Rattus norvegicus: one gene and its partner. The protein of the gene in region 1 purifies or fractionates together with the protein of each later gene. This does not show direct contact. Links are inferred from orthologs where the notes say so. Each region holds a gene or a part of one and is shown in the gene's direction. Other genes may lie near its edges.

Region 1 (3,747 bases):
AAAAAGGGAGGCAGTTCAGGCGGAGCCTATTGGGTCATCCCAAGCTGACCTCGGGAGGGGGGTGTCAAGAAGCACGTGGAGGTGCACCAGTGAACCCCTCGTTCCCAACTTAGAACATTCGGGGCGAAGAGTATGGAAGATATACCCAGTCCCAGAGCGCAAGCTCAGCCTTCCAAAGCCCAGAGTCCTCCAGCCCAAGGGGAATGGTGTCCTTCCCACGCCCGAGACCGCACACACTGGCCCCGCGGCGCCGCACCTGGAGGGCGGAAGCTCCCCCGCCGCGCCCCGCCCCGGGGGAGGGCGCTGGGCCTCGGGATGGAGAGGGCGCGTGTTTACAAACAAGGGGGCGGGAGAGCGGGGAGGGGGCGCGAGGGGCGCCGGCCCGGGCCCACGGGACACTCACCCCGCCCGCTGTCGCCCATCCCGTCCCGGCCAGCCTCCCCCGGCTCCGGCTCCAGGGTTTGCTGCTCTCCGGCCGCCGCCGCCGCGGGATCCAGCCAGGGCCGCCGCCGCCGCCACCGGGACGCGACCCCACAATGCATCTCTTTTCTCACCCCCACCGGCCCACACTGCCCCGCGGCATGCCGCGGCGGGAGGAAGGGCGGACGAGTGGCCCAAGACATGACGCCGGGGCCGAGGGTGGGGGAGCCGGAGAGGCGCCAGGGACGCGCAGGGGGCAGAGCGGGGGACTCAGGGAGCGCGAGGAAGCCGCCGAGGAGGGCGGGCTCCGGCCTGTGGCAGCGCGACTCAAGCGCCGCGCTCGGCTCGGCACCGAGGTGACAGCACCGACGCGGCCGCCATCTTTGTATAGACGGGAAGTCTCGCCTCGAGCTCCCGCCCCCTCGCCGAGATGGAAACGGAGGAGGCGGTCTCCGCCGGCCTGTCAGCCACTTCGCCCGCCGTCCCCTCAGATAACCCCCGGGTGCGCGCATGCGCCCTGGGGCCGTGGCCGCGCCGTCCTCGGGGCGCCGCCATGTTGGTAAAGGTAGCGGGGCGCAGGCAAGAGGGAACTTCCGGATCTCGCGGGAGCTTGAGGCGCGAGTGCCACGTCCCAGCAAACCGAGAACGGAGAGGATCCCGGAGCCGGTGAGAACTCCCTGCTGCTCCCTTACGGCGCTTTCCATGCTTTTACCCTAACTACTGAGCCATAGAGACGAGGGCCCAGAGAGACCGTAAAGTTGCGGATCAAAGGCTAGAGCGGTGTTGGGGGGTGGGAGGTTTGGGGGAGCTGCATCCAGGAAGGGTGTCGGGGATGAAGAGAACTGGCCTTGGGAACAATGTAAGAGGGGAGCAAGTGGTATAGAGTGGACGGAAGGGCTTCAAGGGAAGCGGATCCCGCATAGGTAGAGAGTCAAGTAGACTCGTCTCTGTTCCTCTGGTCAGCGTGATGGCCAGGGTCCTGCGGGACCCCCACTGGGTGGCTGTGGGACTGCTGACCTGGGCAGCTTTGGGGCTGCTGGTAGCCGGACACGAGGGTCATGGTGACCTGCACAGAGACGTGGAAGAGGACTTCCATGGCCACAGCCACGGACACTCACATGAAGATTTCCACCATGGCCACAGCCATGGCCATGGCCACACTCATGAGAGCATCTGGCATGGGCATGCCCACAGCCACGACCATGGACATTCACGGGAGGATGTGCACCATGGCCATAGCCATGGCCACTCCCACGATAGCCTCCACCACAGAGGACATGGACATAGCCATGGAGCCTCTAGGGAGGCTGGGGCTCCAGGCATCAAGCACCACCTGGACACTGTCACCCTCTGGGCCTATGTGAGTCCCCGGGGGACGTGGGGAAGAGGGACTGGTGCTTAATTGTTGGAAGACTCCATATTTGCTTTCTGACTCTCCTCCAGGCACTGGGGGCCACAGTGCTAATCTCCGCGGCTCCCTTCTTCGTGCTCTTCCTCATCCCTGTGGAGTCAAACTCTCCCAGGCATCGTTCTCTGCTCCAGATCCTGCTCAGTTTTGCTTCTGGGGGGCTCCTGGGAGATGCCTTCCTCCACCTCATCCCTCACGCCTTGGGTAAGTGACATGTGGGCTCCATCTCAGAAACACAAGCTGTTTTGTTCGTCCTCTTTAATGATCCCAGGTCTCCCAATAGTTCTCAAGTACACATCCCCCATCTGTCCTTTTTCCCTTCTTCCTGTAGAACCTCATTCGCACGATACTCCGGCACAGCCTGGCCACGGACACTCCCACAGCGGTGAGAAAGAGTTAGGGACTGGGACGCTGGGAGAGGCCTGCCTCTTCCCTTCCTTCAGCACTTATATCTGAGTCTGCATCGCCCTCATGCCTCATTCCTCCATCCCAGGCCAGGGCCCCATTCTCTCTGTGGGGCTGTGGGTTCTCAGTGGGATTGTCGCCTTTCTTGTGGTGGAGAAGTTTGTGAGACACGTGAAAGGAGGGCACGGACACGCGCACGCGCACGGACACGGACACTCGCACGGAGACAGCCACGCGCACGGACACAGCCACGCACACGGGGATAGGCATGGTGAGCCCACCCCCATTGCCTGCTACACAACACGCTCAGGCTCATCCGCTGGAGCAGGACACGGAAAAAGCTCTGTTCCCCACTCTGATCAACTCCTGTCCCCCTCAGAGTGTCCTTCAAAGGGAAAGCCCAGTTCAGAGGATGAAAAGGAAGCAGGGGGCTTGCGGAAAAGGAGAGGAGGAGACACGGGGCCCAGAGATGGCCCTCTGAAACCTCAGAACCCTGAAGAAGAAAAAACAGGCTCAGGTAAGGGATGAGTTGATGGGCTTACTACTCTGAGTTTCTCAGAGTGTTTGCTGTGGGTGACGGTGGGGCTCTAGGAAATGGAGTGTGCATGCGTGTGTGAGCATGCACGAAACAGCTCGAGGACTGGTGGTGATGACACCTTCAGTCATTTTTGTCCTTTGTCTATTTACAAAAAGACCTGCGTGTGTCTGGGTACCTGAATCTGGCTGCTGACTTGGCACACAACTTCACAGACGGGCTGGCCATTGGTGCTTCCTTCCGTGGGGGCCGAGGGCTTGGGATCCTGACCACGATGACAGTCCTGCTGCATGAAGTGCCTCATGAGGTTGGGGACTTTGCCATCTTGGTCCAGTCTGGCTGCAGCAAGAAACAGGTTGGTGCTGACAGCCTGCCATTGGTTCCTCACGAGCTACACTACCATCCAGCCTTTTAGAACCCGGGAAAGTTGCTTCTCTATCTCCGAATCTCAACCCTCCCATAAGTACAGCCTGGAAAGGGCCTCTGATGGCCTACAGTTTCTCAGGAGATGTCTGTTCTAGTACCCCCTCCTCGACCCTTTATTTTTACCAGGCTGGTATGGGGCTGGGGGCCTTGGGTGTGGTCCTGAGGCAGTCTCATTGCTGACATGTTAACTAGCCAGGGAGCCCCAGGCAGCTGCTTGCCTCTGCTTCCTGTGCTGGTGCCTGGGGCCCAGACTCCTGCCCTGGTGTTTGTGCAGCAGATACTACAATGGGTCCATCTCCCCACCTCACTTTCTGTCTCCTATCCTTACATGGACACCACACAGCTGTACCCCACTGGTCCCCCAACCTTTAGTTGTTGATGATCCTGTCTTTCTCCTTTCTGCCCTCCAGGCGATGCGTCTGCAACTCTTGACTGCAATTGGAGCATTGGCAGGCACAGCCTGTGCCCTTCTCACTGAGGGAGGGGCAGTGGGCAGTGAGGTGGCTGGTGGTGCAGGTCCCGGCTGGGTTCTGCCATTCACTGCAGGTGGATT
Region 2 (3,747 bases), on another chromosome or scaffold:
AAAATGGCTGCAGAATTAGGTAGAATTCACAGACACTTGTCTTGCTTCGTACCTCATTTTAAGATGGGTGCAGGCTCTCTAGAACATGTCTTCAGCTGTGATTTTTTTTTTTTAAGGACATGAAAGATTTTTCACTTTCTAATGGCTCTTGTCCAAAAGGAAATAGTATTTCAAGTCATGATGACTTCACTCTCAATTAACCTGTGTCCTAAGGTCACAAAACAAGACACAGGAGGGTGAGGGCAAGAGAAAGAATCCACACTGAATACTTTCATAAGTCCTCAGTAGCTACTGCGGGTCTTCAGAGTGATCCTGAGAGCTACCAGGACATGGACTATATTATAGTTCCAGTCTTAAGTAACTGACTCTTGACAGATGTTTGAGAAAGCTAAAATTCTGTCTATTATAAAACTGAAAGAAAGCTCAAGAAAAAAACTAAGCATATTTATATTCAATCCCTTTCCCAGTGCCCCAAGCAGGTGTCTGCTTTGTGTCAGTGTTACTTGATGGAAATCGTAGATAAAGACAACTTTATTCAAATGTAAGAGTACAAAACTTTGATCTCAAGTTCTGAAAATACAGCCTTATGTGTTTGCTAAGTTAATATGCAAACTTTCGGTCTTCTATTAAGTCCTGGGATAGTTTTGCAGCTTAAGGCACCCCATAAGCAGAAACTAGTAAATAGGGACATATTTCAAAAGAATGACTGTAGGTCCCTGGAAACCGACAAGAGGGTTTTATTTTACAAATATTTACATTTTAAAGGAGGAGAATCGGAATAAATAACTCTACATTTTCTAAAGTAAAAGATTCCAAGGAAAGTCGGAACCCTTAAAGCTAGGAAAAGCTCTCTTTAAAGTTTGTAAGAGAGAGCTAGTGTTTACTGATTAGGTGCAGTTTGGAAGTTCGGCATCAAGGAAATTAAAGCGAGTTTGGTATCGCTCACGTTTCCCCACATTCTTTCGTCTTGTTCAGGTGACCCATTCCAGCCTAGCTGTCTCACTAATAGGAAGACTCATGAAGAATGGAAAGCCTGGAATAGACCGCCCGGCTGAGGGTCCCACAGCCACGCGTGCGCAATAGGCTCGAACACCCTGACGTCACTGAGCGCGGCCCGCCCCTACATATTAGCAACCGGAGGCGTCCGTAGCAGCAGTGGCTGCGGAGATGTACGAACTTCCGGTTGTCCCCGCAGGCCGCCGCTGCCGCCGCCGCCGAAGCCGCCCGGCGCAGTCTCAGCCACCTGCTCTCCGCCGGAGAGTGGGCTCTGCGGTTCCGGCGCGCCCATGGTCGGCGCTGCGGACCGGGAGGCCGGCCCGGCGGCTGCGGCGTGCTGAGAGGCCGGCGTGGAGACCATGCCGACCCGGCGCGGCTGCTCCGGGCCTTGCCACTTCCTGGCCTCGGCTTTCGTGCTGCTGTTGCTGCCCGCGCTGAACCAGTCCGTGGTGCTACCGTCGACTGTGCCCAGGGCGGTGCAGGAGTCCAAGCCTCTCGAACCCGGGCCGCGTACGTTGTCGCCGCTGCCTCCCGGACCCACCGCGGCCCAGCCGCGAGGCCAAGCTCAGTCTGAAGGCGCCGGGCCGCGAGGCGCGGAGAGCCGCAATGGCAGCATTCCCGGGGCGGCGTCCGAGGCGGACGGTCCTGAAGGGAAGGCCGGAGAAAGCTCTCTGGGTGGCAGCCTGGCCGTGAGTCCCAATCCTAGCGACAAGCCCATGACCCAAAGGGCCCTGACCGTGTTGGTGGTGGTGAGCGCCGCGGTGCTGGTGTACTTCGTGGTCAGGACCGTCAGGTGAGGCATAGCCTCGATGGGCATCCCCTGAGGCCTAGAGCTGGCTGACAGGAGGCCTGCTGTGTGAAGCAGGGAGAATGTTTGTAACCTGGGCTTCACTCACCCCCTTCTCTGGTCCCCAGTCCCCAGCGTCAGGGGCTGGAATCTAGGACCTTCTGGTTGGCTGTCTTAATGGCCTGTGCTACCTTAGCAGGTGACACCAGCTGTTGCCTTTCATCTGTAATTCAGTAACCTACCTTCAGCATCTTGCTCTCTGAGACTTGCCTCTGCCTTAATATACCCCGAAGTGGAAGTGCTCTCCCATCCCCTGAAATTTTGACAACACTGCTGTGCGATACTTTACATACTACTCTGCACTTGGTGTAACTCACCTGTCAGTGCTGTCGCCTGTTAGAATGCAGTCCTATTTGTCAGTCAGGGTACCACGAAAGTAAAAGCAGAAAGACCTAACGGACCTTTCACTTCTGCAAAACTTACCAGTTGTGTTTCTTAGATGGAGCCCTTGATCTATCCCTAAGTAACTTGTACTCAGTTTATTGGGTACTACATCTCTGGAGAGGTATCAAATAGAGAAGACCCCACCAGAAGGGGGTAGCCAAGAGAACAGCTGTGGAAAAGCTAATGGTTTTTCCTTTCCCTAAAGTAAGAACAGATGGTATTTTGTGAGATTTGTACTGGTTTATTTATTTCCTGTTTTCCAAATTACTTCACACTTTCCCCATAACTACACACTGCATTAGTTAATATGTCTTTAAATCCCCAAAACAGAATTTAGTGTTTTTAAAAGGTGTTTGTGAATGGAAAACCAACATGACTTGTCTCAAAGAATCTTACAGAATTTGTTCCTTTTACACATCTTCATTAGCTACAGTTTTACATTTGTTTTCCAAATAATACATTATCTTACAAGTGTATAAAATACAAACACTTTACTGGTAAGGTTTGAAATTCTACATTGAAACTGATAGCAAGGAAGTCCGCCCTGTCTAGTTAGTGTTGTATATCTTCTTAAAGAACAATCAAAAATTGTGTATTAAATTGATCCCTTCTTTGCCAAGGTGATACGTTCTTGCTGGTGGATTTTCTTTATATCCATTAACCAAATATTACAAATGATTGGATGCAGACAAAAATTTTACAGTCTATGGTATCTTTTCCTTTTTCCCATTTTTTTATTTTTTATACATGGTTTAGGCCAAATGTTAAATAGATTTTTGAAGACAAAAAAAGTCATTCTTTTCACTATTTTTGGTTTTAAGAACAGCTAACTTAAGGGTTAAGGTTTTTAAATCAAGTGTTTTCTTTGTTCAGATCAGGTCAGAATCTACATAGCCTCCCGAATTCTTTAATAAGTTTTAAGAATGGAAAGGAATTTAAAGCACTTAAGAGCGCCTCACATAAACAGTGTCATTGAGCTAGAAACTGTTGATTTACAAAGTTCAGAAAACTTGTCACTTTGTCACTGGGAAGTTAGTATTCAGAAGTTATTAAAAGCTTACGACCACCAAAGTGAGACTTAAGAAATCTTAGCGGAGAATTAAATCATTTTTACTATGTAGTTTTTATTTAATACTGTGCATAATTCCTGTCAGGACCATGTTATCCTTTATAGAAAGCATGGCTATACTGACCATTTCCTTGACGTGCTGCTTGTTCTTGTGTTTTTATTTTGTCCTCCCTTACTTGGCATCTTCTGTAAAAATGGTCACTGCTATCACCTCTCTGTGTTCCTTTCAGTACATCTTGAAAGGACTCACCCTTTTCTGATTCTCGGATGATTCCGTATCCTGTGGTATGAGAAGAGAGAGCCAGATTTAGCACTGTTGCTGATAAAAACTGCATACTTCAGGCAGCGTCTAACCCGTTGGTGTACTTCAAGTTCTACATTTAGTTGGCTGTCTAACATCCAAAGCTTAGTTGATGCTGACTAAATCTGGGTATATCCAGAACTCTTCCTC

The links. The genes of interacting proteins can lie anywhere in the genome.
Region 2: the proteins of Slc39a7 (region 1) and Fam174a purify together in Homo sapiens (co-immunoprecipitation; 3 studies listed by BioGRID and IntAct, with this or other methods). This does not show direct contact. The link is inferred for Rattus norvegicus from reciprocal best matches to the Homo sapiens genes SLC39A7 and FAM174A.

Annotation. Positions count from the first base shown.
Region 1 is NC_086038.1:4,824,037-4,827,783, forward strand, and holds the start of Slc39a7 (zinc transporter SLC39A7 precursor), read left to right. Parts: upstream 1-1,086; 5' UTR 1,087-1,387; coding exon 1,388-1,780; intron 1,781-1,863; coding exon 1,864-2,032; intron 2,033-2,159; coding exon 2,160-2,213; intron 2,214-2,321; coding exon 2,322-2,504; intron 2,505-2,612; coding exon 2,613-2,750; intron 2,751-2,926; coding exon 2,927-3,123; intron 3,124-3,604; coding exon 3,605-3,747. Other genes in the region: Rxrb (retinoic acid receptor RXR-beta), read right to left, coding at 404-932. UniProt on the Homo sapiens protein: Transports Zn(2+) from the endoplasmic reticulum (ER)/Golgi apparatus to the cytosol, playing an essential role in the regulation of cytosolic zinc levels.
Region 2 is NC_086027.1:103,188,971-103,192,717, forward strand, and holds the start of Fam174a (membrane protein FAM174A precursor), read left to right. Parts: upstream 1-1,292; 5' UTR 1,293-1,355; coding exon 1,356-1,789; intron 1,790-3,747.